2 linked regions of the Medicago truncatula genome follow. The protein of the gene in region 2 interacts with the protein of the main gene of each other region in a pairwise test. Links are inferred from orthologs where the notes say so. Each region holds a gene or a part of one and is shown on either strand. Other genes may lie near its edges. The genes, in order: B3 domain-containing transcription factor ABI3 and protein ABSCISIC ACID-INSENSITIVE 5.

Region 1 (16,688 bases), about 21 Mb from region 2:
ATATAAAAGAATTACTAATACTAATACCAACTATTTCATTTGAGTCTATTCAGATAGATTCATCTTCTTTTGTTTATATGTTGATCGTAAGTATTTTTTTAAATACTAATAAAGTTATTTTTTTAAATACTAATACCCTGATCGTACTTAAGAACGCTTCTCATTTAAAGTACAAACCTATAATGATAAGAGAGGAGTTCGATACACATATTCTAAATGATGATGAAATGCGTCTGAGAAAGATGGGTTGTGCGGTGTTTCAATTATATGTCATCGATGATCTATTCAGGTACAATATACGATTTACTTAATGATTTGCCGTTTTCTGTTTCTTTATCGTAAGTATTCATGTGATTGTTGAATTTTGGTATCCAATAGACTGTGTAGACAAAACTCTAATACCTATGAGTTTAAGCAATCATCTCAAAAGAAGTCCAAGAAGAAAAAACAGAAGAAAAAAAAAGGTGTGGCATACACATATATGTTTTATTTATATGTTGTTTATGATCCTTTCTGTTTATGAAAAGATTTTTTCTTGTCTGTAGGCTAAACAAGAGGTGGAAGACCATAAATCTTCAAAAGAGAATAAGGAAAATGATGTATTGAATGAAGAGGAATTGAACTATAAGATGTAAGAAGTACCTATAAGACACATTTTTTTTTATCGCTTTTATCATACGGTATAAAGTATTTAGAGTAACAAAAGTAATATGTTATCTTATTTCAACATGCTGAAAGAAATAACTATAACCTAGGATGGTTTTTTATTGTTAAAGAAGCAAAGTCAATCTTCATAAGCAGAAAATTTAGTGTGTAGAAAGGAAGAATAGAAATTTGATCATGTGGATAAAACATAAAAATTATTTAAAAATATAGTCCAAATTATCTCATATTCTTTTGATATATAGACTATAGTTATAGATAAAATGATGTGGGAAACGTAATGGATGATATTGATCTTCCCTTCCATTCCCTTGTTTGTTATATAAATAAAATAGACGAAGTCAAATAGTATATGTATGACTGAGGATTGTACTTACATATACGGCTCCTTCATTACCTTGTCGACATCAACAATCCAACAATACTCTACTTCTTTACGTCACGTACACGTTATACACCTTTTTGATATCCTAATTTTTTTCTATTAAAAAATATGACTTTTCTATCTGTTTATCATTATTATTTCTTGCTACATGCAACCTTCTTCAACTTATGATTGTCTTTTTTGCGGTATTACAACAAATATTAAGTGGACAAAAAAATAAACAAATATTAAATGAAATACTAAAATACATCTTTTTAGATTAAACTTTTGCTTTTTAATTTTACCCTTACATTTAAACAATTTTATTATTTTTTTCATCTTCGTATCGATATATAAAGGTAATACACTTTTTAGGTTGAATTTTTTCTTTTCACTTTTACCCATTCATTTAAACAATTTTTCATTTATCAATTAAAAATTAGTTAAATCTCATTCAAATAAGAACAATCAACGACAATAAGAGGAACAATTCACAACAATAGACTGCTTCAGCTTTCTTGTTCGCCAAGTTTGAAATGCTTATATATGAGGTGTTTCTCCGGTCTTAGAGAGAGATGAAAGTGAGTCAAACTAGAGTTGATCAAAAGAGAGAATTTTAAGAAGATCAAAAGCTGAGAATTGAGTACTTTTGGATTATAGTCTAGGGTTGGGAAGCATTATGAACACCTTGATGAATGAAATCATAGTGTCATTTGTTCAAGGGAAGGCCAGAAAATGGTAGAACCTCAATAGGGTTAGCCTAATGGTGTTGGTTTGGAACCTTGGAGTATGCACTTCTTAAGGTCTCGTGTTTGATTTCTCCCTATGTCAATTTTGATGGCTTTAAATGTTGTCCTCGCAAGGGAATTATGAGATCATACAATTCAGATTAGTCGGTCCTTAGGCTGGATATTGAGTTTTATTTTAATGAATTAAGGTTTTTGAAGCCTAATTTCTCTTAAATTTATGTATCTATTTATATGAAACTCGTTGATAATAAATTGAAGAACTGCTATTTTCCACATATGTATAGGTCAAATTGAATCGAACTTAGTAAGTGATGTTCATTAATTCACTTTGGTGATTGGTTGCTACAATTTTTCCTACACTCAGCATAGCATTGGTGCGATTTTATTCAAATTCACGACACAATTTATTCAACTGGTGCTTTTATTTTATGCTTTTTCTATAATATTGCAAATGACAATTTATGTGTAAACGGAAAATGGAAGAAAAAGGAACCATTTTAAAGATTTTTAAAAAATTTATGATTCAAATAAAATTATAATGTTATGATGAAATATTTAGAATAACATTTTTAGAAATTTAGAGTGTTTGATCTTCTTAATTTAATTAGTACATAGGACTTGTTTTTTAATAGTTTTTTAAAAATAGATTTTTATAGTTTTTTACTATAATTTTTTAGAAAGGGTTTCAAATAAAAATTTTGTTCGAATATAAACTTATTTAACTTATCTTAAAATGTCATTTTAAAATTTCATCATTTTGTTATAAATTTTTTTGGATATGAATTTTTTACAGATTACTTTATTGAAAAAAGATGTGTGATTTGTTTATATAAAAACTAATATTCATAATTTATACACATTAACCCAATAAAATGATCGGAAGTGTCCACTAATATATATAAAATTCTTACATCTATTGTAAGGTATCTTTTACAATTGCCTACAGAATTACTCAAAAATAAATTATAAGATTTTTCTCTCGACAAATTAATAAAATATGCAATTTGTTAACAATTTTATATATAAAAAAATCTCAAGATCAATACACGAAAATATTCTTTATTGTTTCATCTGCACCATGATTTTCTATGAACTTCAAAATCAAAGTTACAAATGGAGACAGCTCAAGTACAACCCTTACAAAGTTTAAATACACATATCCACATACATCATTTTCACACAACAATTTGCAAATGAATTCCAAACAAATAATACTACAGATCCTTATAAGCTTTGCATGTTCAGCTCAAAGTCTCTTTTATTGACTCTACTCTACTATATTTAAATATATATTATTATGCATCTTACTATATCTTACATATATATTAATTAATTGATATCTTTTTCATTTTTTTCTCTTTGGTGAAGATGGCGTGCCATTATTATCCACTGCAGTTCCAGCTAAATTTGCAGCATTATTCCCATGCTGGTTTTTCTGTGATTTTCCTGCTTTTTTTGCCTCTGGTTTTGTTCCTTGTTGCCTCACTTTAACTCCCCTTATCATCTGTATCACAAATTATATTCCCACCAATTAATTCTCAACTTTTTAATTTTAAAAGAAAAATATATCTCATAATAAAGTTTACTGTTGTATTTTAGACGGTTGGATTGAGAACAAACGACTCGAGTTTTGGTGAGACCTCGAGCATGGTTAATTGGTTCAAATGATTCAACAGCGGTTGAACGAGATGAAAAATGTTAAATAAAAAAATGTGAAGAATATTAAAAAGAATGTAAAATATGAAAATCGGTTTGAACCAACCACGGTTTAACCCGAGGATTCACAATTCAATGAGTTGAACGGGATGAGTTTAGTCTGGTTTTTTAAAACTTTGGTTTGATCTCGATTCAATTACGCCGGGAACTAGGAAATCCAAATCCATGAACATTAAGTAAAAGAAAACATTATAAGAGAAGGCTCTTACAAATTTGCCACACTTCACATCAGAATATATCACTATGAAATCTCCTTCTTGGAGTCCATTAGCTTTCACAAAATCACCTACAAAATGAAAATGAATACATTATGAAAAATAAACAAAAACAAACAAAGCACCAAAGATGAATAAGAAGAATAACTCACCGGTGTTCTCCAGCAAATACATCCTGCTTTTGTTGTTAGGCCAATATCTGATGCTCCAAGAAGAAATAATCAAAAGATAAAATTTTAGTCCCAATGTATCATCATCATAATTTATAAACATAAAAAACAAAATGATGAAGTTAAATTTGTCCATGAAAATTTGCTTACCTATAACGCATATTCCAAACTCGAGAAGTTCCAATGTCTTCCATTGTAATCGAAATTCCATCTCTTGCCTCCAATTCTGGCAAATGTGTTTCTGCCTCTTTCTGATGTTTTTGCAATAAACTATGAATCAATATTTTATTTTCTCATAAAATGTAATGAATAATTGAAAAATAGAAAATCAATAATTACTTTTGGCAAAACAATTCTCCCCAGACTTCCGACATCACTTTGCTTCAAAACCTTTTGTAGAAGGAACCTCAAGTTCTTTTCTGGCTTCCAACCCTATCAATCAAATACATCAAACACATTATTCATAAAGCAAGATAGTTGTGTTTAAAGTCGCACATTTTTTATAATTTGACAGTTATAATTGAGTGATCGGATAATGGCTGTTAGTTGAAGTTATAGTAATGTTGCAAACCATTGTATTGCGATATCTGCATAAGCTACAATAATGTTGCAAACCATTATATTGCGGTATCTGCAGACAAATGGATAAATACCACCACAACTGTGGTTGCTACGCCGTTGCAGAGACCTTTAAAACCATTATATTGCAGCCACAATTACGGTTGTTGACCATAATTTAAAACTTATTCAAGTTCAATAACAAATGATTTTGCATTTACATGCATTTCTAATAATCACACATCGTAGATCATATAAACAACCAAAACATATAATCTAACAATAATATAAAGCTGAAGTCCACAAACCTGTCTCCTATCGGATGCACTTCGACCCTGGTGAGAACTCTGTGTCTGCATGGTGGGGCGGTCACGGTCCACTGGAGGCTGCGTCGGCTCAGCCGGAACAACAGGTGCCAAGGAGGCTGCTGTCCCACCGGTCATAGTCTGCCAATACATCCAGTTCGCTGGATTTGCATGAGAACCACCAGCAGCAACATTGGTGCAACTATCACCACTACCTAATCTCGCAAGTGGATCAGAACCTTGAATATTCTGATGATGGTTAATATTATGATGCCTATGATGAGACATAAACCGCCGTTGCCGAGCCATCCTCTTCTTTCTAGCTTCTTTTGTAGCAGAAGGACCTAACCTCATCAACCTATCACCAGGACCAGGAAACAACTGATAAGAATTATATTGATTTCCATAACCTCCAAAATTCATACCATGAGGTTGTAGCACATTGTTGTTATTTTCCACAAATGATTGATTGTAGTTTGGTGCAACATTGAATTGAGAAGCACCCCATGAATGATTTGATTCCAACATGTGATATTCATTAGTAACAGCAGGTTGGTAAGGGTTAATGTTATTTGAAACAGAACCATTTGTGTAAGGATCAGCAACAAATCCAACTCCAACTCCAACCATTGGTTGTGAAAATTGTTGTGGAGGTACAATGAGAGGTGTTTGATCTAGCCATGATGTTTGGTTGAAACATGCGTTCGATTCAGGTGCAAATGTGTTTGCTGTGTTTTGGTTCTGACACGGATCTTGAAAATGATGTTGTTGAGGAACAATATTTGAAGGTATTATTGTGTTCGTGTTGGCGTTTTCTTTGAGTCTTTTGTTATGAAGATGACTAGTTTGAACCCATTCAAGAATGAGCTTCAACAATTGTTTCATCCCTTCTTTTCCACCACCTAATCTCCTAGCAGCACTTTCAATCGTTGATTTCTTAAGCTTCACATTCCTCAAATCATTCGCGGAGACACTGTCTTTGTTCGATTTAAGCCACTCCAAGAAAACCATACTCATTTCATCACTTACACCATCACATGCACCTAATTCATCTCCTTGAATACTCTCTTCCCCATTTACACCGTCACACACAAAAACATCGTCGTTATTCTCCTCGATATTCACTTGTTGCGGTTTATTTTCCCGATCATCATGCACTATCATCGGAACTTGTTGATGTTGTTGATATCCGTCTTGCACTTGAACTTGTTGCTCTTGAGTGAAATCCACTAAAGGGTTTTCATCTTCATTTTGAAAAATCGAAGCAGGGTCAAAAAATTCATTAGCTTCTAAAAGCTCCATGTAACCAAAAGTATCCATAATGTTAACATCATCCATGCAATCACCACCACCAACAACAACATCATTGTTAGAAACACCAAGATCTTGTTGCTGTTGTTGAGAAATCTCCATAGAAGCAGTTGATGACAAAGTTGTTGGAGGATGACCATGATGATAATCTAATGGATGACCATGTTTTTGATAACCTTGATGATCTACTTCAACATCTGATTTCAAAACAGCCCAAGAAGCTGCAGATGAAGAAGAAGCTGAGGAAGAAGAAGAGGTAGTAGTTGTTGTAGTTGAAGTACATGCAATGGTTTTCAATGGTGTTGAAGATGATGAAGATGAGGATGATGATGACATGCATGGAAAATCAGGTAAAGGAGGAAAATCAGCATAGAACATAGATGCATCATCATTCATATTCATACCTAAAAGATCACCATCTTGATCATTTGTAGTATTATTAAGCCAATTTTCTTCTGCTAAATTTCCAAAACCAACTTGTTCTGTTTCATTCACCAACTTTGCATGCAGATCTAAACCACACTCCATAACAAGATCTAACTTTATCTTTAAAAAACTTCTCTCAAACTTGAAAAACTTTGAAGTTTGATTACCCTTTTGTTCAAGTATTCTTCTGGTGTAATTTTTTTCAGATATGGTGCAAGAAATATGGTACTGTTTGAGGAGAGAGAAAGTACAAAGAGAGAAAAAAATGGATAATTTTGTTTATGTACTTGTCAAGTACAAAAGGAAAAGATCTGTTTAAGGAAGCAAAAGAAGATAAGATTCTTTCAAATCTTATGAATGGATTATGCAACAGAAAACATCTGATTCTCAACAAAAACACTTACCAAGAGAGAGGATATCATTATCAACAACTTGGATAATATATATAATATATATTTAATAATGAAAACCTCTCTTACCTTCAAAGAAAGCGACTTTCACTATTCCAAAAAGTGGGTTTTTTATTGATTTTTTATTCTCATTTGGGTCATTATCATCCTAAATAAACAATCATACACAAACAACCTAGGGTTTTGAAAGGAACACAAAGAACTTGGATGAAGAAATTGAAAGGACTAAAATCAAAACTTTAGAAAGAGCAAATAACAGAGTGAAGCAGAAAGAAAAGATTAAGATTCTTTGTTCACAAACCCAGAAAACCAATCAAATTTTTCAGAGAAAGAAAACCCACATGCTTAAACTGATTGAAAACTTAGTCTTTTTTGGAGAAAAAAAAAACCCACCCATGTGTGTATTCTGGTTTGTTCTAGGAAGTTACATAATTGTTTTGCTTTTGTTAATTGATTTTATTTTCTCTTTCTTAGATAAGTTCAAAATGGTTTTTAGGTAGTTTCACACACACACAAAAACAAAAGGTTATGTAAGAGAGAGAGAATAAGTGGTTTTTTGAGAGAAAAGGTAGTTTTGGTTTTGGAATCAAAAAACAAAATTTCTTGCCGCTAGTTTTGTCAAATGAGGTTACTCCGGAATTTGTGCTATAGACATTCGTTACATTCTCAGTGGTGGTACTAAACGGTGCCACAGTCTTTATTAGAAAGTAAGGTCTTCTGCTCCACAAAGAAAAATTTAATTTTTAGGTGACCTTTGATTAATGTTTTCATTTTGTATTCTTTTTGTTAAATAAATTAATGTCTTACTTGTTTCTACCAAAAAAGTATTATTTCTATCATTTGTTACAACTGTCACATTTTTTTATTTGGAATTATCCATTTGCATGTGTTTTTCTTTTATCTAAATATGTGTTATTAACATATTAGATTTTTCTTTTTTGTGTAATTTTGTCAACTTAATGCAGCCTAGAAATGTTCCGCAATTGAGTGTTAACTCTTTGAGTTTATCGAGTTTACACTTTTAGATATCAAAATCGTGTTAACTTGAAGGTAAACTCGAATTTTGGTAAAATTAGAAGGTTTGATGAGTTTGATCGAGTTAACACTCGGTAAACTCGTGTAAACTCGACCGAAATTTACGAGTTTACATCTAACCAAAAAATCGATCTTTTTTTTTTGGGCCATTTTTTCCAAACCCAATTTCAATCCTACAAGCACAAAGACTGAAGCGTTTACTGAATAGTTAACTTTACAGTAACACGTTGTTCCCGAGATGAAACGTTTCTTTTTCTTTCTTCTCTAAGTCCTCAAACCATGAACAGGGAAGCACATACTAGTTAGGGTTGTGATTCCGACGATGGAAATTCAGATTTCGACGCCGGTTAGGATTGCAGTGGTGGTGTTTGTTGACCTTTTGAAAAAATTAACTAGTTTATTTTTTTAGATAGTTTTATTAACAACTTTAGGAACTTGTGAAACTTGCTTTTTTGGATAGTTTTATGAATGACTTAAACTTAGAGACTTATGAAACTTATGATTTTGTGCGTTAATTTTTGTATTTTGATGCTAAGTTGAGTATAACGTTTTATTATGGTAGTTTGGTATAACTTGTCTTTGTAATTAAGTCATATTTTGCACTATCGACGTATTTACAATATTATATTAGCTTATATATGTCATGCATATAATAAATTCTACATAATTTTAATTTTAGCTAAACTCATACGAGTTCTCGAGTCGAGTTTACTTAAAGAAAATGAGTTGAGGTAAACTCTCGAGTTCTAAAACTTTACCGCTTAATCTGAGTTTTTTTTGTGTGTTTGTTATGTTCAGATTGATAGATCGATTTCAACTTGTCATATATTTAGCTATGATCACTTGGGTATCGACACTAGGATTCGCGGACACCACACAAGTCGATGTTACTCATTTTAAAACACTCCTATCTTAGTTAAGTTACCACAAGTAGAAAGCATATACTTAAAATTAATTGTTAAGATTTTTTTTTTGTATCTTTTGTGGTGCAAAACTAGTCTGAATTCCTCTCAACCGACTCATATATGTCATGTTTAAAGCGGTAGGAGGAAGAATTTTACCACATAGGTCACATACAACAATTTAATGGAGAACACATTTGAGATTCAACCACCCAATTTCATTTATCCCTACTAATATGGAGCAATGTGCAAAATAAGAGATCTCAAAGCCCTCTATAAGATTGCTCTTCACGCCAAAAAAAAATTCTTAATTCCATTAAGATTTAATTACAACTCTTCAATTTATCATATCATATTTGAGTATTTTAAAATCAAAAGAGCTATGCAATTTTTTTTGTGTGTTGGCAAACTGTAATTGATTGATTACATCTTCGTCACTCACAAGTTTTATCATAGTTTCATGGTGATACATTATTAGCACAAATCAATTTTACGCTCTTTACTTTTGTTTGCTTTGCATTCTTCTTATCTTCATCAAGTTTTATCTCATTTATTTTTCTTAAAGATTTTTAACGAGGCATAAAATTATATTTTTATGCACCCTTGTTGTCTATTTGAGTTTTGACCCAAGACCCCAATTTGTTTTTATTAATTTTTTTTACAAGTATGATTTTTTAGTGCCAAGATAATTGAGATTTCTTTATTATCATGTGATTTTTCGCACTCTAATTCTTTGCCTAAAAAACATCATAGTAAAATTATTTAAAACACAAGACATATCAAGAATATATCAACAATACAAAAAAGATAAGTCAAAAAGAAAAGAAAAACTGAATACCTTCAAATTCATCAATAAAAACATCAACAAATATACTGAGACCGAAACATACGCGCGGAGTTCACGCGCCTAAAAACCACATCCATAAAATGAACCAAACCAAAAAATGATAATCAAACATCATTTAGTGGAAAGAACGATTCAATTAAATATCACCAATATTTATCGACAAATCCTAACTCAATAGATAAATAAATTCTGAAATTGTTATGTTGAATATCGTGATCGAAGTTTGAACCTTAAATTCTACACTTATATGTGTGAATATCTAATGACTATTATCGGTTTGTTTATCTACCGTAGAAAATGTCAACAATACTTGACAATTCTTAAAAAAATATATATCATATCCAAAAAAAAGTGTCAACAATACTTGACAATTCTTAAAAAAAATTATATCATATCCAAAACAAAATTAAAACAGACTAAAATATGGTTTTGATCCCTGCAAATTTACTTCATTTTAGTTTTAGTCCATGTAAAACCAAAAAACATCATTGATTACAATTCAATGCTACTATCACAAGGATCTGCGGGCACAACACACAAGTCTATGCTTCTCATTCAAACAACACCCTTATCTTAGTTAAGTTACCGCGAGTAGAAAGCCTCCTTAAAATTAATTGCCATGAAATTTTTTATATCTTTTGTGGGAAAAAATCAGTATGAATTCCTCTCAACCCCCTCCTATTTGTCGTGTTCAAAGTGGTAGGAGGAAGAATTTTACCACATAGGACCATATACAACGATTTAACTGAGAACACATTTGAGGAATCAACAACCATCCAATTTCATTTATCCCTTCCACTATGGAGCAATGTACAAGATAATAAGAGATCTCAAAGCTCTCTAAAAGATTGCTCTTTAGGAAGAAAAAAAAATAGTATTAATTCGATTAAGATTAAATTCCAATTCTTCCACTATTGTATCATATTTGATTATTTTAAAATCAAAAGTGGTATGCAATTTTTTTTTTTGTTGGCAAGTTATAATTGATTACATCTTTTTCACAAGTTTTGTCCTAGTTTCATGGTGATGCACTATTAGCACAAATTAGTTTTATGCTCTTTACTTTTGTTCGCTATGCATTCTTCTTCTTTTTACCAAATTTTATCTCATTGCTTTTTTTTTCTTCAAATTGCTAGGTCAAACGTTGTGATCGAGGTTTGAACTTCAAATTCTACACTTATATGTATGAGTTTCCAATGAATTTTATCAATTCATTTATCTAACAAAAACGTATCAACAGTACTTGACAATTCTTAAAAAAAAAACTATCATATCCAAGACAAAATTAAAAACATCATTGATTACAAAAGATTCACGATTAAATAAACTCACGATTTTAACTTTAGCGTTGAAATTTTTAAAATATTATACAACACTTGGATGGTTACTAAAAAAAGCAAAAATACATAATTTGTCCCTTAACTTAATTTCAATAACACTTTTCTCACTTATCTTTTTTTTTTTCTTCTGATTTAATCTTTAAGTTATAAAATATAAACATTGTTATCCTTTTTATATTAACAAAAAAAAGACAAAAACTCATTGATGACAAAATCTATCATTTGTACTAGTGTGTCGGCATGTAGTAATATTTATAAAAGTTTATCTCCACCTGGATTTTCTTGTTTAAACTTGACTACTAAGATTATGTTAGGAGAAATATATATAAAGAAGAATTTTGAACTTGGCAAATTGGTTGGTTTGAATTCCATAAAAGAAAGAGAAAGCGACTAGGTCATGTTAGATTTTCTTTTTCAAATTGTTGGTAACTACAAACTACGAAGCCAATGTGACTGATTACTTGATTTTAAGATAGTGAACAAAATAGCCAAGTCCACATCTTGGTCACTAACTCTCTTCAACGGTTACTTCTCCCTAATGTCTTCGGTGAGCCCATAACCCTTGATGGTTTAAGAACGCCAAATTAAGTACATGATAAGCGGATGATATACCATTTATTACATTCATATATCTCCCATTATATGTGATCTTTGAGTGAAAGCAAAACCTACTTTATCCTTAATATACACTAAGTCTTTTGTTGTTTTAGAAACCTTTATTTTTAATGTTAATTTAAGTTTTAGGAACAATTTATGCTTGCTAGTGCTGGTTTGTATGGAAGGTCGTGAAAATGTTCAATGATGCATTGCTAAAGGATGGAAGTTGTATTAAGTTACAAGTTTACGATGTATCAGAGTTGGTCTAGAGGATATGCACTAAAATGGACCCATAATTTTTGTTTAATAGAGGCCCAAGAAAATCAAAGTCATGAAGGACCTGAACCTGATATACACATGGATAGACTAGGCCAAAACCCAACAAAACCAAAAACCACCAAAGATTAGTCAAGAAATCAAGGACTTTTACCGAACACAAAATCAGAAAACTACTATGAAAATAAGACCAAAATAGACAATATCAAATCTTAGAATTTACCGAACAAAGAATGTATCATCGTGGACCAAATCAAAGGCCCTAGACCCAAGCAAGTTGATCATAGTGTTAAAGATGTCATGACTCGTTGGCTTAACAGAATGTGACAACAAATAATCACATTGACTTAGGCTTTGAGCAATATCGAACTTTAGTGAAGCTTCTTTTGCAGAAGTAATCGCCTCAGTGTTGACTGATGGTTCAATCACCGCATCGAAGACCTTTAGTTACTTTTAGGATTAATCAGAGGTTGATACACATGTGTAACGCCCCAGATTTTGATCCAAGACATTACGCCTAAATCATTCTCATTTTCGAAAATTACTACCATTTTTTTTTTTTTTTATCATTAATAATAATTCTTAGCAAAATCTATACAAAATTCTTAACATAATTTAATTAAACTTCTCAAACTAAATATCCTTCAAAATTATTACTAAAATTAGAATTCAATTAAAACCCAATTTCTTCCCCGCACGCGCTTCAAGCAAAACACCAAAGCATACACATGTCTTCTTTGGTACCTAAAATGTTAGTGTAAGGGTCAATTTCCTTATCCAAATTGGTTCATACTCAAAGCACAAGAAACAATGTCATAAAATAGATAGTATATATCAAAACTTCTCAATTAAAAAGAAATAAGGAAAATACATTCAAGTTATATGCTTTAAATAAGGTTCACACAATTTCTTTTGCTTTATAATAGTTTAATCACTTATCAACACACAAATGTATAACAGACCCAATGCAATGCAATTATGTGTAAATTGCATGCTTTTAGATTCTACATGATCCGGAAATAACCCGCCACACAGGCACCACACAGAAATAACTCGCCACACAGGCACCACACAGATGCATATGCTAATGCATGATCATGAACAATGAAGACTAAATCCAGCCACTTAGGCACAACAATGCAATATGATATTCTCCCGCCACTAAGGCACCACACAGAAATATATTATTAACCCACCACTAAGGCAAATGCATAGTCAAATAAAATACCCGCCACTAAGGCAACCTCATAAGCAAACACAATCAGATATTAACACATCATCATCCACATGAACCAAAATGAAATATTTTCATAAAACTCATATTACTATATTTTCATTTCTTTAGTTTATCAACAAAATCCAACACTTCTTTCCCAATACCACAAAAAAAACATATATGCATATCAAAATAAAATAAATGTCATTCTACATAACATTTTATGCACACATCATATAAAATATAATTAAACTAATAACTTTTATAAAAGGTTAAATTTTACCATATAAATTCATATTTTAGTTTTTTTGTCTTCTTTTCAACCGACAAGAATCTCTACCTCTAATTCATAACATCATCCTAGTACTTAGTATGGACGTATGGGAAAAAAGTTCGTACCTCATGCATTTTTCTTTCTAAATCACGACTCTAAGCCGCCTCAAACTTGCAGCTACGATGCAGACACAATTTCTTTTACTCCCAGAATTAGCCCGAACGAATGGTGAACGAAGGAGTAATTGAAATTCTACGGCCACCTCTTATGGAAAAAGAAAAAGGCTTATGATTTGGAAATAATTTAGTAAAGTGAGAAGAGAATAAAATAAAAGGACATGTTTAAAATAACTTACACAAAATTAGACAAGATGAAATGTTATGATTGGATTAATGGACACAAAAAATTCGGATGAAATGTGTAGGCCGAGTAAAGAGTAGGAGAATATGTTTGTAGACTTGTGAAGATGGTAGGGAGAAATGTGGCTCACAAGAAGTTACCAAGAGAACAAGTTTGTTTTGATTAAGGCAGGGTTAATGGATGGGTTTATTTAGTGTAATTGTCACAGAAGAAGACAAAGGCGTGTGACAATAAGAAAATTGGTGTCTTGGTTTTAAATAGAAATAAAGAATAAATAATGTTTGGAATCATAAGGATCTTTTAGAGAGATAAGTGTGTATTTGTGGTTTGTGTAGCAGATAGTAGGAAACGTTATTGGTCTCTTCCTAATTGTATGTTATCCCTAGGAAAATTATTATAGCTAGATATATGAAAAACCGCCCCTCTTGAACAAAAATCAGAAAAATAAAGAAAAGAAAACTAAGTTTATTTTAATTGAGCCACTCATAGCATAACTATAGGAGGTAGTTGAACCATGGGAGGTGGATTCCTTATCTTTAGGAAGGCATACTAATAAGTAAACAACAGCAACGTGACTAACAAGAGAGTAGTGTTTTGACTCAGCAACAAAAGGGGACACTCATGGTCAAATAAGTAGAATATATACTTGAGTAAAAATAGGCATTGACAGCACAAAAATAACCACGTACAATACAAAATAATAGAAGATGTGGTTACAAGGATGATAAAATGAAACATGTGCAAAAAAAAAGTGTGCTATTAACACTTAAGTAGAAATCTAACTAGTATATTTGTCTAAAATAAAATAAAATAAGTTATATAAAGAGGTAGAAGGTTATTCTATTATATAGTCATAGCAAATTGATCAAATATACTAAATAAGAATAATTAAAACAACTAAAACTAAGGGAATAATTATTTCAAAAATAAAGGGTCTTAAATTTTTTCTTAAATTCTTTACACCTAAATTAAGTTGTTGAATAACTAATAAACTAAAATAACATATATATATATATATATATATATATATATATATATGAGACAGGATTCGTTGACACCAAATCTTAAGCGTTAATTTCTCTTAATCTAAAGGTCAATAATTATTCATCAAAATTTTAATGTGGGCATTCAGTATTTTATATCTCATTTTTAAGACTATTTATTTTATTCTCTCTCATCAATCTCATTCACCTTCTTCCCTAAAGCCTCATCTCTCCGTTAAGCAAACTAGTTCTACGGGTTATTGATCCTTCTTCTATAATCTCAATAACAAAATTATTTCTATATATCTCCAACAAAGATAATTCTTGATTTTTTATTTTATGCAATTGGCAGCACCTCAAATTAAAGGTTTTGGTTATACATCTGTCAGCATCTCAATTTAAAGGTTTTTCATTTTTTCAACATCATAAAACAATAAAACGTAATAAGAGTATTTTAATTAACTATTGTTTTCATGGATAATTAACTATTTTTTCAATTACCTGAGTTATTGATTTAATTGTTTTGGAAATTGAGAAATTAATCTGAATGAATTGGTTGCTGTGAAGAAGATAACGAATGTTTTTTTTATAATCATATGGATACAAATATATCTCTTTAATTCAATACATTCCTCTCCATTTTCATTAATTTGGAATAAATTGTCCTTGGAAGAAGGAGGCGCACTACAAGAAATCTGGTTTTTACTGGCGGAAATAATCCCTCAGTAACGCCAAAAATCCCTCAGTAGTACATATTACTGGCGAATATGAATCCCTCAGTAATATGAGCGTCAGTAATGTTACTGGCGGAATTTTCCCTCAGTAATGGAGAGGTAGTTTTGACAAAGCATTACTGAGGGATTATTCCGCCAGTAATATTTATATTGAACTGCATTACTGACGGAAATTTCAGCCAATAATGTACTTCTCACTTTTTTTTTTATTCCTTTCCACTTTTTAATTTTAATTAAAGAAATAAAATTTATTAAACACAAATAAATTAATGAAATAAAGTTTTAATTTAATAAGACAAAAATTAATTAAACTGACATATATCATCATAATATTCGTACAATCCATAAATCATTTTCGTACAAAACCATGAATATATCAATAATATTCGTACAATCTAAAAACTAACATAATAAAGTAATTATCATAATATAGGAAAATTTGATCTTGATCTCCCTCCTAACTCAAAATCCTTGCAAATCCTTCAACTCTTCTTGAGTATTAGATTCCTCAATCTTTCAGCAGCTCAAGCAGCCCTTTTGTTGGTTGGCTCAAGTACAGGGGTATATTTAAAATCATCAATTGCTTCTTTGTAGTAGCCCAGCATCTCTCTAATTGTACCTGTATGGAAGTACGCCTTCATACTCTTTTTGTCAAGACTTATTGCTTTTGTACAATCTGCCTCAGCTTGGAGATAACTGCCAAGCTTAAGAAACGCTTGAAGGATACATGGTCTTTAGCGTGTCAAGCAAAAAGCGATCACCACCATACCGAGCTATCAGGGAAACTCTTAAATGTTGCTTGACCCTTAAATGTCAATTAACATGTTATCAAAGCCTCTAGAAAACAAAAAAGTGAAACAAGAAATTAACATTAACTGAACAATTCAAACATCTCAAACACCCACAAGTTTTAGTGACAAAATCAAAATAATAAAGAAAATTGAGGTGAGAGTTTATGCATTTAAACCTTCACAGAGTCATAGTTTTTTTTTTTAACAACATACCAGCAGCTGCAGAAGGCCTTCAGACCGCGCCAGCCTAAACAACACACCAACAACAGGCCCCGACACAAGCAATACCTAAAAGGGCAAGGGAACGATACACCAACAACAGGCCATGACAGCAAAAAATAACAAGGACAATAGAAAACAGCAGAACCGAAAGATAATCTTACTATCTCCATCTCTCAGAAATAATTTACATGTAAAGATTCACCACACCCAAATGACCAAAGGAC
Region 2 (16,019 bases):
CGTTTTAAACTATAGTGCTAATTTTCTTTTTTGGTAACAATATTAAACTATACTACTAAAAAAAGTATATTATAAAAGGTAAAAATTCCAGGAAATGCTTTTGTTTCTTGAACGTACCACATTTACAATGTTCTTTAGCATATAAGGAAAAATGTTTAGTACCATGGACATGGAGACATTTTTGTTGAATGACTTGCGTGGAGAACCTTCCTTAATTGCATAAACTCAAAATTCAATTCCTTGTTTATGTGGTGTGATTCTTCTTTCTTTCCTTCATAGTGTCTTTATTTTAATTTTGTTGGAAGAATATCTTGAGGAACAGGGCGCATAAATTAAAGGAATTCCACCCCACCACAAATGTTCAAGACTAAATACATACTTATGTCATTTCAGAATAAAACTAAGATTCAAACCAAGTTCCAAGATTGGTAACAAAACAAGAAGGTGGAGCTCTCCTTTTACTATAAACCATTCTGCTCCTCATTCCTTTGCATAAAATAAAATGTTACTGTTGCGAATTCGATGAGAAATCACGCCAATAATAAACTTGATGTGTGGAGCAATGGATAATCAAGCAACCAAAACAAAGTGTATGGAACAATTATAAACACAAGCCAAAAGTAGAAAACAGCGAGAGAGAAAGAGAGAACACAAAAGAATTTGTTGACCCAGTTCGGTCCAAATTGACCTAATCTGGGGGAGAGAATAGCCCTCCGTTTCACTATATAATGAGTAACTTTACAAAAGAGATATCAATGGGTTACAAGAATAAGTCTCCCGCCTAATTCTACCCAAAGTCTCAATCTCTTCCCGTGTAACCAAGAGACTCAATCCTAATAGTGTTTCCCAAGGTGAATCAACCCTCAAACCCTAGTGTTTGTTCCTAAGAGACAAACTCTATACAAACCTTAGTTTTGTTGTTGTCATTCTAAACCCTTGTTTCAGCCCCCTCTATCTCAAAGTTTAGTCTGATACAAAGTCTATATTTATAGTAAAAGTATAACTCATAAATTTGGAACGAATACCACACTAAAGATACGTTTTTTTTTTTCTTTCTCCTTCAATGAAAGAATATTTGCATCAAAAATATAATATTCCCTTTCAAAATATATTTGCATCAAATCGTTCTTCATACGGTACAAAAATATACTTATTGTCCATAAATATATTTTCAGCACAAAATATATTTAAAACAAATCTTTTATATTTTTAGCAACAATATTCTTCATTCATCAAATTTTAAGTCATACTACAACAGTTACTATGAGTTATGGAAGGAGTATGCTTTTATGTTCCTTTTGTATTCTTTTGTTGAGAAAGGGAGTTGCGTGTGTGCATGCATATGAAATATATGCAAACCGAGCAAAATGGTACTCTAATCTAATAGTACAAGGTAAAGGGTAGAAATAGAGAAAATTACAATAAAACGGTGCAAATGAAAACAAAATCAAAATACAACAGGCACCGAAAATCGGGTTCAAGAGAGAAAGAAAGAATCCTCACAATTACCTCAACGAATTAGTTATCATCTTGTACAAAGTAAACGAAGACCGCTCAGATTTAGCTAAAAATCACTTCCAATAGGAAAAAATTTAATTTAATCCATCTTGCTCATCGTTCACCTATTTATTAGAGAAAATGAAAGTAAATATTGGACAGAACAGCAAAGCACAAATTAAGTAGAATAACACAAGACAAATTTGATTTGTATGAATGTGAATAATTTTTGGTGGATAAAATGTTATTTTGATATTTAAGACAATTTGTATGTGAGACAAAAAGTTGTGATGTGGTTTGGTGAAGAACTAGAATTTATGTTTTTGTCCTGTCATTTGCCTCCAATTTATCCTATCTCTAAAACTATTTTATAACTCAAACTCTCTACAGATTGAGTTACCATGTCATATCCTTAATTTTTGAACAAATCAAACACACCCAAAGATTCCTATCTATCAAAAGTTCATAGGTATAACGAACATATGAATGATTGGAAGAGTCGTTCACCCAAGACCACCTTTCTCCCTCAGGAGTCAAGGTTACACCACCAAGCTTCATCAATTTTTCCAACAAAAGTTGATCCCAAAAGAGGTCTCCTCCAAGAGAGCATTCAAATCCACCTCTTCCCCAAAACCTAAATTTCTTACCCAAACATCTAACCAAAATAAACTCAATTACCCATCTCGACCACTTTCACCACACCATCTGAGAACCAGTTAGAGGTAGGCCAAGGGCCATTAACTATGTTAGGACTTAGGAGAATGGAGAATTTGAGCGACAAGAATTGAATTCTATACTCCTCAGTCCTTGATAATCCCCGTAGCACACTATTTTATTTTTGTTCTTAAATATTTTGTCATCATATTGAACTATCAGTCTATGTAAAATAAAAATAATTTTATTAAATTATCTTCTAAGAGGTAACCAAACTGTTAATAATTTTTTTAACGTAAAAAATACTAACATATTTTTCTTATAATATGTCGGGGTCGGGACGGGGTTCAAACTCCGGACCTCATTTATTCACTTTTAAGTAGTAAATTTCTAGCTACAAGTCTAAAAAAAAGATATTCGACTTATTATCACGACAAAAGCATGGATAAAATATTACAATAATTAAAGCAAAATAACAAGTGTAAGAAAATCAGGGATCGCAATCAATATTTTTTTCTAAGAAGTAAAACAAGAAAACATTCTTTAAAAAAAATAACAAGAAAACATATATAGTTTTATGGACAAAAATGGATTAATGCCTAATTTTTACTATTTTTTCAAAATTAAAAAATTCATGAATATTTTTTATTTTTACTTATACGTTATTAAGAAGATAATAATCTATTAGTTAAACAAATAACCCCGTAATTGTTTTTTACGAGAAAATCCGTTAGCATTTTTCCATTTATAATTTATAATTTTAACATTTGGAAACACATGAAATGTGTTATTTTTTAGTTGAATTGGAAGTTATTTTATGTGCAATATGTGGGACGTGATTCTAAAATTTGATGGAATTAATCGAACCCTTAATCATCAGCTGATTTTGGTATAAGTTGACATCTATTTGTCTAAATTTAGATAATGTACTTACATTCCTCTTTATTTTTGGCTAAAGTTTCAATATCTTTTTGATGAAAATGCTAGAAGCTGCCCATGTTTAGCTTTTTTTAGTTCCTTTTTTCTGTTTTAAGTTTTAACATAAGCAAAAGTCATTGATGCCAATTAACAAGCGAATGCTTGCCTCAACAAAAAAATGCTATTCAAGAAAAAAAAAATAGCAAGCGAATATTCTTTTGTCTTTCTTTTTATCAAAAATAATAAAAGAAGGGACTAGGTTGTTAAAAAAAAAAGAAGCACTAGGCCAAGTCAAAAAAGAAAAAAGAAAGAAAGAAAAGGACTAGGCCCAAAATGAAACTAAACCATAAAACTATTTTCTAATATATTTTTTATTATATTCACAAGCTATTTGGAGTAAGATAAGAAAATGATTCTTCTAATTATTAAGTCAGAAGCACAAAGCAAATGCCTATACATAAGTTGGAAAAATAAATATTGAATTGTGATTTTTCTCACGAGTTTGTCCCTATTTATTACATATTTGTTTGTGCGGTGGAAGGAACGGGAATGCATTCCCCGCAGTGAAAATCTCTACGGTTTACTGCAGTGTCAACCCTAATACTTACTATTAAACACTTTATCTCTTCTAATTTTGCATTTAATTGTCTATGTTTTATTTTTTCAATGGTCATGATTTCACTAAACTCCTCAGTCACTTGAGATGATCCAGTCCAAAAAGGAACCACGAGGATATGGGTTTAATATAAACTACATTTTGTAGCTTTGATTTTTTCACCACAAAATTTGTCTCGAAACTTGAAATTTAAAAGTTTGGCCATATATCCAAACATATGTTTAATCGAATGCAATATATTAAGGGACAACTAGTTTCATACCGATAAAAGTCATTCAGGAGCACGTTTACATGGAGGAGGCGATTTGATTTGGTTCCAACTAGACCCAATAGAACGGAAAGAAGTCCCACATCATGCCATAAAGTTAAGAAATAGATTTATATAACTATTGAGGATTAGAGTAGAATTAGTTCGACGTTTCCGTTAAATATGTAAAAGTTATATAACTGTATATTATATTGGTTTGAACTTTTGATTAATACACCGATCAATCATATGCTTGAATACTAATTAATGGGCCTAGGCAGAAATCCCAATGTATTCTTTTGAACTTCTGTCTTAGTACATTTACATGCATATTATATGTATATGTATATGATGAATGATATGAAAAATCAAGACTGTTACCTTAAAACTAAAAAAGGAAATAAAGATATGAAAGTATCACAAGCTAAGCATAAGCATGTTGTAATTTATCGTAGAAAAAGAAGAAGCTTGTTGTGATTGAATAATGAACAAAATAAAGACAGACACAACGTCAAATATAACTAATTAACTAACAGAATTAATATACTAGTAACTAACAGCTAACAAGTTGTAACACCTCCCTCAAGATAGAATGTGGATATCCAACATGCCTAGCTTGTAATGCATATTAGAGATCCTATCTTATTTAATACATTACTTTTTTGATTCAGCAGTATTAGTGAGCTCAAGATTATTTAACTAAGGTTAATTAAGTTTTTGGTCCTTATAAACATATGCAGTTTTGTTTTTAGTCCCTATAAAAATAAATTACACTTTTTAGTCCTACAAAATTTTCTGTTAGTGTTTTTAGTCCCTGTTAAATTAAAATTTGTTTAATTATGCTTAAACTTCTTAATTTTTGAAAGATTTTTTACGTACATGTTTATAACATCTTAAGACACTTTTTTGTAAATTTTTTTTACTTTTTTTAACATGTAATGAACTAAATATGAATTTTTCTAAAAGGAAAATTTTCAAGATTATATTAATGAAAATTGGACCTAATAATAAAATTTTAAGTGACTTTTTTGCGGAGGAACTTTGTATAATATTCTAAGTAAGTATGTGAAAAATATGTTACAAATTTAAAAGTTTAAGCACAATTAAGCAAATTTTAATTTTACAATGACTAAAAGTATATGGTGGTCCATGTTAAACTGAAATTTGTTTAATTATACTTAACCTTTAATATTTTTAAATGATTTTTAACAAAAATGTTAAGAACATTATAATAATCTCTTTTATAAAAAATTAGAATTATTTAACATGTAATCGATAAAATATAATTTTTTTTTAAAACGCCAAAAATTTAATATAAAACTAAGAAAAATTTGGACCTAAAAATAAAATTTTTGAGCTAAATTATTGTGGCGGAACCTTTTATAATGTTTTAAACAAGTATGTAAAAAATCGTTAAAAAATTTAAAATTTTAAGCATAATTAAACAAATTTTAATTTAATAGGGACTAAAAATACTAACGGAAAATTTTGTAGGGACTAAAAACAAAACTGCAGATATTTATAGGGACCAAAAACTTAATTAACCCTTTAACAAATAGATATAGACCAGTTTGCCTCACAGTAAGTGCAGGGCGGCCGGTCCTTAAATTTTTTATGCTTTGGACGAAATAATAAAATTATGTCTTTTTAATCATTTTAATAGTTTTTTTCTTACATTTTTTGTTGCAAAAGATTCATTTATAATCAAAGTTTTTTAAAAATATATTTTCACTATAATTAATTAAACCGAATTAAAAAGAAATATATCTATATAATACTAACTATTAACTAAAATGTCCTCGTGAATTTAGCTCAGTTGATAAGGACAATGCATAATACATGCAAGGTCCGGGGTTCGAATCTCGACCACCAAAAAAAAAAAATACTAACTAAAATTAAAAAATTTAATGCCTCTAAAATAATGGTGCACGGGCTGCCGCCCCTTTCGCCCACCCTCAAGGCCACCCATGAGTAAGTGCTATATATGCACTCTGCTTATCTAGAAACGATATGGTTGTTTGCTTCCTATCATCAAATTCATGTGTGATTATTTCAATGTTCGTTTTAGACTTCTAACCATGTCATTTTTTTTTTAAACAAAAGTATCCATCTTCTTTTATCCGTTTATTTCTTATTCTTTAAATCTAAACTTCTAAATCTGAAATCCTTATAAACTCAAAATAATGAGTAATTCATCTCTAATATAACGTGTGAAAAATGAACATTTGATTGTTGTTCATCTCTAATTATGAAATAAAAATTATCAATCAAATAATCACAAAATATAACAAAAATTAGGCCAATAATAAAAGATAAACATAACTTAAAAGCTAACAACATAAACAAAATGTAATAGAAATGATCAGTTTAAGAAGAATTTCTTTTTGAAATATCAATTTGAAATAAGGTCAAACTTAAGGACCACAAACATAATTTTGTATAATTTTAAAATCTCTTATATTGACTTCTTTAGACAGAAAATAAATATGGTCGCTCAAACCTTAATTGGAGCAGCGAACTCATCCGCAGTGCTATCATTATATTTTGGATAATATTTATTTTAGTTCCTAAATGTATAAAGAGTAGTCATAATAGTCTTTTAATGTATCAAAATTTTAAATAGTTTCTTATGATGTATTTTGTTAATCGAAATAGACTTTAATGCTAAAATAATCGCTCAATACTCATAATAACTTTTTTCATATATAGACGAAAATGATAAAAATAAATAAATAAGTATTTATAAGGATTGATATGACAATAAGTAAGTATATGTATCAAAATTAACACAATATTTTAGGCTTAAACTCACTTTTTACCCCCTAAGTTTGCAAAAGTTGCAATTTTGGCACCCTATTAAAAAAAATGGCAAAAGCTACCCCCCATGTTTTCCCCCTTTTGCAAAATGCCAATTTTGACCGAGTCAACCATATGTGGCATGCCACATGTGTAAATTTTTAATTAAAAAATATTAAAATTGCCACGCGTGTATCTTTTGAATTAAAAAAAATCAAAAAAGAAAAAAAATGGAGAGGCACGTGAGTGAGAGAGTCTCTATGCTCTCTCTTCTTTCTTTTCCTCCCAATTCTTTCTTCCTCTTCCTTCTTTCCTAATTGCCGCCTCCCTCTTCCCTTTTTCCGGCCACTCTTTCCAGCCACCCAACGTGGTGCTTCCAACCATCCTTTGTCAAACAAAATACATAATATTTATTCACCCTTCCTTCTCTATCTCATCATAAGTTTATTTTTGGATTGGAGATATTTTGAGTTTTCAAACCACCACCTTCATTGTTAGATCTAGACCACCACAAAACGTTTTTCGATAAATTACCACAATAAAAGTACTCTCCTTCGTATTCCCTACAAAACCCACAAAAAATTATGCTTGGATGACATTTTTCCGACGACCACCACACCGGAAAACATCACCACCGCGCCGGAATTTAAATCTATTGTTTTCAGTTTGTTTTCCAGAAGCTACGCTTCTTATGACAGTTGCCGATGATGAACTGCTACATTTTTTCATGGATTGCTCCTCAATGTTGATAATTTTAATAATTTGCAAGTTTTGGTTAGGAAAGAAGGAAGAGGAAGAAAGAAGTGGGAGAATTTGTTTTGCAAAATGCATTCTTTCCAGCATTATGGACAAAAGAAACAACAATGGTGTTATGTTCATTCACTCACGTGCCCTCTCTTCTTAATTTTAATTTTTTATTTTTTTTATTTCTTTAATTATACATGTGGAATTTATGGATTAAAAAAAATAAAAAATAAAAAATAAAAAAAATACCCAAGTGGCATGCCACATATGGTTGACTCGGTCAAAATCGACGTTTTGCAAAAGAGGGAAAACATGGGGGGTTGTTTTTGCCATTTTTTTTAATAGGAGGCCAAAATTGCAACTTTTGCAAACTTAGGGGGCAAAAAGTGAGTTTAAGCCAATATTTTAATGTCTGAAACTTTTTTGACTAACGAAGTACACAATCATTAACTATTTTAAGTGGGGTGTCCGGGATTCGAACCCCGTCCCCTGCACATATTGTGCATTATTCCTTACCAAATGAGCTAAGCTCATGGGGATAGATGTATTCAATATTTTATTATTGATAAAATGAAGTGAAACATTTTTCCTCTCCGAGATAGTTTTGTTGTATCTTTTTTAACAAAAATATAACATGTAATAAAATATAGAGTTTAAAGTGTTTCAAAAAGGATTACATCGAAAACCAAAAATAAAATATAGGGTCCAAATAATACATAACAGTACTATTTTTATTTATTTAGAAAATAAAAATATAGAGATGATACGTGTTGTGCTAAAAATATGTCTGCAACCAAACAGGTTTGTAGAGACGACACTTGCCCTATACGTGGCAAATCATGCGATTTAACTCGGGAACTTGCCCTCTGAATTTTCTTCTGTCTATTGCGGCCTTTCATCCATTCTTTTTATTCATTTCTATGCCTTATTTTGTGGGGTACCCTTAGACGAAATGGACGAAGATAGTTACTAAATTTTTAGCTAATCGATCCTTATATATGCAGGTCTTTCGTTTGTGGAAAATCTTTTATATAATTTTAGCACACTCTTTGCTCACTATTCAGCCTCACTATCTTCTTAAGTAAGCTCTAAAACTTTTGACATTGAGACAAAAGGAGCTTAACATTACAACTTGCATTTCCAGGTATATTTCTCTCCAAAAGTTTGATTCAAAGGAAATAATGATCTCATCAATATACTATTTCTCTATATTTTGTTATATGCATGGAAACTTTGTGAACGTTTTTGGTTTGATTTCATTGGATTACCTATAATTTTGAACGTTAATTAGTGCAAGCATTTGAGTTTTTGAGTTTTGTAGTTTAGAGAATATGCTTTTATTTTATTTTATTTGGTAGATAGTTAAATATGCTATTTTGTTATTATAGATTAATTTATTCTATCTCTTCCTTCATTTGGCCACCAAATCATTTCCAAATGAGGCAACATTCTTTTCCTTTTGTGTACAAACATCAATCCTTTTCTACACCCACCAAATATTCCTCACAACTTAATTTATTATAGTTTTTCAACCGATCATCCAAAAACAACCCTTGTACTTTTAATGCATGTGAATAAAGAATCTTTTTATTCTCTAGAATAAAATTCAAGTTATAAGGTAGCTATAGGATCAAGTGCTTTTGAATTTGATAGTTCTTCTACTTAATGAAGAGTATAGAAAAATTAGTTGGAAGAGTAAATCAACTTTATGTGCCTAAGAATTGTCAACCTATAATTATATAAAATAAAATAAAAAACATTTTTAGCAGAAAAAATTATTTAATTTGATAAAATTTAACATTATCCCAAGTAAATTACGTTTTTTAAAATAATATGTTGTCATAAATAGATCTGAAGTGTGAAGTTTTCTTTGCACTGAAGCATTCTTTTTGTACCGAATAATAAAAGTAGTAGTTGCTTCGATATTCAATTATTCCATTGATAGAGCGATGGTGGTGCAGTTTCTGCTTACTTTTGAGCTGGTTCTGATCAAATATTGGATTTTCTATGTGAAATTCAGTGAACTCGAGAATCAAGACCAACAATTGATCATGTTTGGATAATATTAAATAATCTAAATTAGAATTAGAGGCATCTTGAAATGCACCCAAATAATAGAGGGAGTTGGAGGGGAGAAAAAAATAATCCAACTTATTGACACTGTTTTTTTTTTTTTTTTTTTTATATAAAAAGGAAAATGAATTGAGTGTGACATAGGTGTAGCCCCACCCCAAAATAATTTTACATATTTAAAACTCATAAAAAAAACTATTTATTTATACACTTTATAAAATTATTTTAAATTCGTATTGGTCCTCATGGCCAACAAAAGTTGGTCAAGTTGGTAAATAGTTGGCTCAGACTTTCTAAAGGGCGCGAGTTCAATTTTTTTTATTGTCAATGTAAGAATTTTGTTGACTTTATAAGGGCGTGAGTTCAATTTTTATTGTGTAAGAATTTTGTTGGTGGACAATTTATAAGTATTTTCTATGAACGCTCTTTCAACCTTGAGACTTGCTCTAATTTTGATGTCTTTTAGTTATAAAAAATAAATAAATCATCCCCAAAAAAGAAATTAAAATTTACAATTTCAACATTACTCAATACACCCTCAACAATTTCTCAGCATATTATAAGTTCTTATTAAATACATGACATAAGCAAATTGGCTGTATTGTAGTATTATTGTCATGAAGCAGTCCATTTTTTCATGCGTTGACAAAGGCATCTAACTTTTTTTTTTGAAAGAGACAAAGGAATCTAACATTTGTTAAGGTTCTTTGTTAACAAAAAGCTTATGTTGACTTATTTGTCGTTAACAAAGTTTTTTGTTTGATCAACTTTGCATTGATTTGAATTCTTGCATTCACAAATTATTGATGTGTTTTAAAAAGTCTTTTCATATTACATTGTATTATTAATCTAATAATTATGTTGTTAATGTGCTTTTTTGTTACGAGTGTTGACAAATATAATGTCTGGTGCAGTGCTGAAAATAAGACAAGCAGAAGAATATGGTGGTAAGAGAAGGTGAGATGAATTGGCAACAAGGGGAGGTAGAATCATTGCAAAGGGAAGGAGAAGAAGCGATCAGGAATGACGTCAACAATGTCATTTCTTCATCGCTCGGAAGGCAATCTTCATCCATATACTCACTCACCCTCGACGAGTTCCAACACAGCCTCTGTGATAGCGGCAAGAATTTCGGATCCATGAACATGGATGAGTTTCTAAGTAGTATTTGGAATGCAGAAGAAAACCAACAACAAGCTGCATCCAACAATAATAACAGCAACAACAATAACTTGTCTGCAGCTCAGAAAGGGATTAGCAAACAGGCAAGTCTTCCTCGCCAAAATTCGTTATCGATTCCTGCTCCTCTCTGCAGGAAAACTGTGGAACAAGTTTGGTCTGAGATACACAAAGAACAACAGAACCATCACAACATCAACAATGTTGCTCAGAATACCGAGTCTACCCCTCGACAGCCGACTTTTGGCGAGATGACATTGGAGGATTTCTTGGTTAAAGCAGGGGTAGTTAGGGAACAACAGTCTGGTATGCCGGTTGCCATAGCACCACCACCTACCGCAGCAGCAGTGTCATCTCACCGGCCGCAGCAGCAGCATTACGCCGCAGTGTATCCGAACAACAACTCTACAATGGCTCAGGCTGCTTCATTTGCTATTGGCGGCGGCGGGAATCTAAACGTTGTTGCGCCACCGTACCAAACGGTGGCACAGGGAGGTGGAGCAGTTGGAGAACCTTCGAGTTCAGGGTATGTTGGGAATGGTAAGACGAGAGATAGTATAGGTACGGGGTATCCTCCGCCGCCGCCAGCTATTTGTTACGGAGGGAGAGTGGTGAATGGAGCAGCGGGCGGTTATGGCGTGGCAGTGGCACAAACTATGGGAATGGGCGGACCTGTTAGTCCGGTTTCATCGGATGGGATTGGAAACGAAAACTCGGGTGGTCAATTTGGGATTGATATGAATGGTTTACGAGGAAGAAAGAGGATGGTTGATGGTCCTGTTGAAAGGGTGGTGGAGAGAAGGCAGAGGAGGATGATCAAGAATAGAGAGTCAGCAGCAAGATCTAGAGCCAGAAAACAGGTTCCTGAAATTTTAACCAATCATATTATACTTAATCTAAAATTATGTATCCACAAATGTATGAATTATTTGAAATTCTTATGTATATATGATCAAGATAATACAGCATTATATTTATATGCTATTGAAGGTAACATTAGTTTAAGAAGAATTGGTAATATGTCAATTTTTTATCAACTCTTTACATCCAAATTAGAAATAGTATGTTTAATCTAGTTTAATATTTGCCATTATATTGTTAATGTGACTCCTTTGTGACACATTTTTCTTTGTTGCTTTTGCAGGCCTATACAGTTGAATTAGAAGCAGAACTGAATCAATTAAGAGAAGAGAATTCTCAACTGAAACAGGCACTGGTACTGCCAAACAACATGAACTATTATAAGAATATTTGATAGTTTTTCTTTAGTGATTCAATTATACTGACAAGGATCATGCTTCTTTTATTCTTCAGGCTGAACTCGAGAGGAGAAGAAGACAACAGGTAACCAATGATGGTCTAAACTATAATTAGCCATAGAAAATTTAGAGACATTAAAACTCCTTTTATTTTGAATCAAATGGATTGAAATCAAATCTAAATTACTGTCTTATGATTATCTCATGCAGTGTTCAGAGGAAACAAACGTGAGAGTTCAAACGAAAGCTCAGAAAGCAAAAGAGAAACTGAGAGGCTTAAGAAGGAATACAAGTTGTCATCTGTGAAGAAAACATCACATGGTAGAGAGTGAAATCCTTGATGCATAAGTGCATCTTCTTGTGTAGTTAAAACTGAGAAAAGTGCACATGATGCAGATCAAGAACCAAGAAGAATATACTAAAGTCAAAACCAGTCAAAAAGAAAGGAAAAAAAAACAAAGGAATGGTGGTGTGGATTTTGTTGGAGAGCAAATTTTTCCACTGTTTGCAAGGATTGAATCATCAAATATGGATGACTCTTTTCAAATGATATAACTAGCTACTCTAATTTGTACATTATATAGTAGTTAATGTTTGAAGTTACCTTGCTATGTGTGTGGATTATTTTTGTTTAGAGTTACAATATAGTACCAGCTATGAATGGCATTCATGCAACTGAAGTAGAGATGATTTTCTTAATTAATTGCCAGAATTATTCTTATTTTTAAAATGAAGTACCAGCCATGAATGGTATGTTGGATAATGTGTTTTAGTGCAACTGAGTTCACATTGGAAAGATGAATACCTTTTTTCATAAAATATACTTTATTTTAGCCTTAAAAAAAAAAAAACTACCATATCTTCATCATTTTGAAGCAATGGTGTATGTAAACGTGTATGTGTCTTGTGTAAAATGCTAAAAACAAGCGCATGCACAAGGTCAGTGACAATAGACCATAGTAGAGTCCAAAGTAAGGTGGCATTTAGGGTGGGTAGGAGGAATACTTTCCTACCATGAAAAAGTGTCACTTTAAACCATTGATATAGTATTATTATAAGTGAATGGTCCAAATTCAGTCAAACTCATAGCTGGCAACCTGTTGAAAACTTTTTGTAAATAAGCCTATTACAAAAATTCCAACCCCACAAATAATACTTTTTTGTTATAATTATTTTGGGTTGCATGTATTTGAATCTAGGCTTCCAATCTTTTTTATGTAGTCACTGCTCACTACTGGGCTTCCAAATAAAATTAATCACTGCTTTCTTTTCTTTTTGACCTGCAATTTTTTTAATCACTATCATCATAAGAAATGAATAACGGGGATAAAGGAATACAATACACCACAGGGACTGTAAAAAACCAAAGAATGAAGAAAACAGCAACAAAACAGAACCTTCAATATGCCAGAATCGGAACCAGATAGCCAAAAGCAAAAAATTAATCGCAACTTAATATCAATTGCATCAAAACAGATCACATTCTATTAAGCAGAGCTTTTCAAGAAATCCAAAGTTTATAAAGGTGCGAAGAATATGAGATAAATGGGGAGGAGATGATTGAACCTAGGAAATAAAATTACAACACATTTTGCTACTGGATTGTGCAAGATGAAACCAAGATCTACCATTCATGATGACTTTGTGAGGCTTTTATTGGGGGAGAACAGTGGATGATTCTATGTTACAGAAACGAAAGAAATTAAGGGAGCTGACGTAAAAAAAAAGGAAATAAGGGGTATAATGGTCAAATTAACAAACAAATAAATGGGGGTGCATAACAGAAGCATAAGACAACCGGGAGGTGTAAAACCAAGGCATTAAAATAAATTAATTGATTTTTTTTTTTTTTAAGTCCCACCTGCATAACTGCCACCTGTCTAGCAAATTGAGACTTTTCTATGGTGGGAAAGAATTCCTCCTACCCACCCTAAATGCCACCCCAAAGTAAATTTATTTTTCCTCTATAACATAAAATCGATATGAATATTTTACTTATTTCATGTGCACATATTATTTAAGGTATATACCTTTCTCGGCTTTTGGTAAAGATCAGGTAAAGATCAAGTGTAATATGTATGCACATGTTATCATGCCCCTCTTTGTATTCACAAACATTTTTCACGAGTAAAAGACCAGGAAAGGAAAATGTGGAATAAACACAGCAAACATGTGCAATGCAGTACTAGCCTATCTATAATAGACTCACAAGTCACAGTGGATTGGCTTACGAGGATTGACCTAGTTAGTAATTTAGTTTGTGCATAAATGGTTCTGGAGTGATAAACTGATCGAGTGAATTGATTTTGTAAATTGATTCTGATTTTAAGTTTATTGAAGATAAAGTGATTTGTGTTTAGATATATTCATGTAATAATGAGTTGAACTTCAAATTTATGAGTAAAAATCAATTATAGAATCAGATGCTACAAATTTCAACTTCAAATAGAATAAATTCTGGAAGCAAAATCAACTATACTCCAAAACAATTAAACATGTCAATTAATTGGCACCTTTGGAAGAGAAACCAAATACACACTTATAGCGAGTGAGTTTAAGTTTCAATGTCGATGGACGTCATTGATAGATAAAACGTAAGTTAATACTCCATAAGCGTTTTTTGAACCTTTTAAGACTTTCTTTTTGTCCCTGGGTGAGTCTCCAAAACTCATCATAACTGAACTTTTTCTTCAATATTTACTTAAAATGGATTCAATCCTCATTCCTCCCCCTAAACTTTTTTAGCATTAAATTCCTCTATTATAAAGGTTATCACATATATGTTATTGGTATAGTGAAGCAGTAAAAAGCAACGTGAATATCAACAGCTCATAAGCCCCAGCCCCCCTTTTTCTTTGACACGGAATAAACTATAAAATGAAGGATTGTGGAAGGATTTTAAAAAATGACGAACACCGCAATTTAGACTGCAACATCATAATTTTGTCTCCACAATCGTAAAGTGACTGCAATTAATGTCGAAGCAAGGTCGAATCAAACTATTTGACTATCTATGATCATCCACAATATTTAGCATAGCTACTTTGATGTCTCCACAATTGTAAATCAAATGCAATTAAGGTTGAACCAAACTGTTTGATTAAGATCCTCCACAATATTTAGGACCACAACGCGACCCCAATTTAAATCCTTAGGTTGCAATGGTGTTATATTGGTATTTCGAAATATAGATCGAGGGGTAGAAGTTAAAGATAAACAACAACAACAACAACGAAACAAAAAAACAGAGATCTCTACATTACAAAGAATCTCTTACTTTACACCTGAGCAATGCTTGTGCTACTTGAGGAAAACGACACAAGAAAATCATGGAACATGAAAGTACCTTCTTGTCTGTCTCGCCGGATGAGATCAAACCAATACTTTGACGGCAATGAATGCATGTGGCTGAACCTCCTACTCATATTCAAACTCAAACTTTATATGACTATATTTTCTTCCTAGTTGAATCATGAATTCAGTGAATTTGGTAAAAGTTTGACACTCTTCATGTGTTTTGATCTCAGCAACATAGCCATAAATGACCATTTTTTTTAGATTAGGACATCCTTCCAAAAGTCCAGCTACCCAAACTGAGAAAAGATCACTGATTGTAGTCCATCCAAGTTCTAACACAACCACATTCATCAGAAAAGACAACCCTTGCAAGCCATAATGAAGCACTCCATCTTTCAAATCATAACTTAAGGAAAGGTGCGTCAATCTAGGAAAACAAACAGAAATGGTCTCTATATCAACAACTTCATCCTCGTCGTCAAAAACAACACTCCACAGCCGAAGCTTTTTTAACTTTGACGCTTTTGAGATCATATTATAAAAATTTTGCCACATAAATATGAAGTTACACACATCTACGATCTCAAGGTTTTCTGTATTATCTCCAATGTCAAGATGGATGACACTCACATCATCAAGCTTCAATACTTTCAATGTCCCCTTATTGATCAATTCAAAAGCATCAAAGGAACAATCTTTCAGATGCAGATTCTCGAGCATATCCGCCACTAATATGAGT

Evidence for each region.
Region 1: the proteins of protein ABSCISIC ACID-INSENSITIVE 5 (region 2) and B3 domain-containing transcription factor ABI3 interact in a two-hybrid assay, tested with the Arabidopsis thaliana proteins (2 studies listed by BioGRID). The link is inferred for Medicago truncatula from reciprocal best matches to the Arabidopsis thaliana genes ABI5 and ABI3.

What each region holds. Positions count from the first base shown.
Region 1 is NC_053048.1:27,918,318-27,935,005, forward strand, and holds B3 domain-containing transcription factor ABI3, read right to left. Parts: upstream 6,922-16,688; 5' UTR 6,580-6,921; coding exon 4,744-6,579; intron 4,310-4,743; coding exon 4,217-4,309; intron 4,129-4,216; coding exon 4,028-4,128; intron 3,913-4,027; coding exon 3,860-3,912; intron 3,779-3,859; coding exon 3,702-3,778; intron 3,281-3,701; coding exon 3,122-3,280; 3' UTR 2,816-3,121; downstream 1-2,815. UniProt on the Arabidopsis thaliana protein: Participates in abscisic acid-regulated gene expression during seed development. Regulates the transcription of SGR1 and SGR2 that are involved in leaf and embryo degreening.
Region 2 is NC_053048.1:49,351,976-49,367,994, forward strand, and holds protein ABSCISIC ACID-INSENSITIVE 5, read left to right. Parts: upstream 1-8,349; 5' UTR 8,350-8,616; intron 8,617-10,459; 5' UTR 10,460-10,486; coding exon 10,487-11,584; intron 11,585-11,868; coding exon 11,869-11,940; intron 11,941-12,038; coding exon 12,039-12,068; intron 12,069-12,193; coding exon 12,194-12,289; 3' UTR 12,290-12,746; downstream 12,747-16,019. Other genes in the region: F-box/LRR-repeat protein At1g67190, read right to left, coding at 15,401-16,019. UniProt on the Arabidopsis thaliana protein: Participates in ABA-regulated gene expression during seed development and subsequent vegetative stage by acting as the major mediator of ABA repression of growth.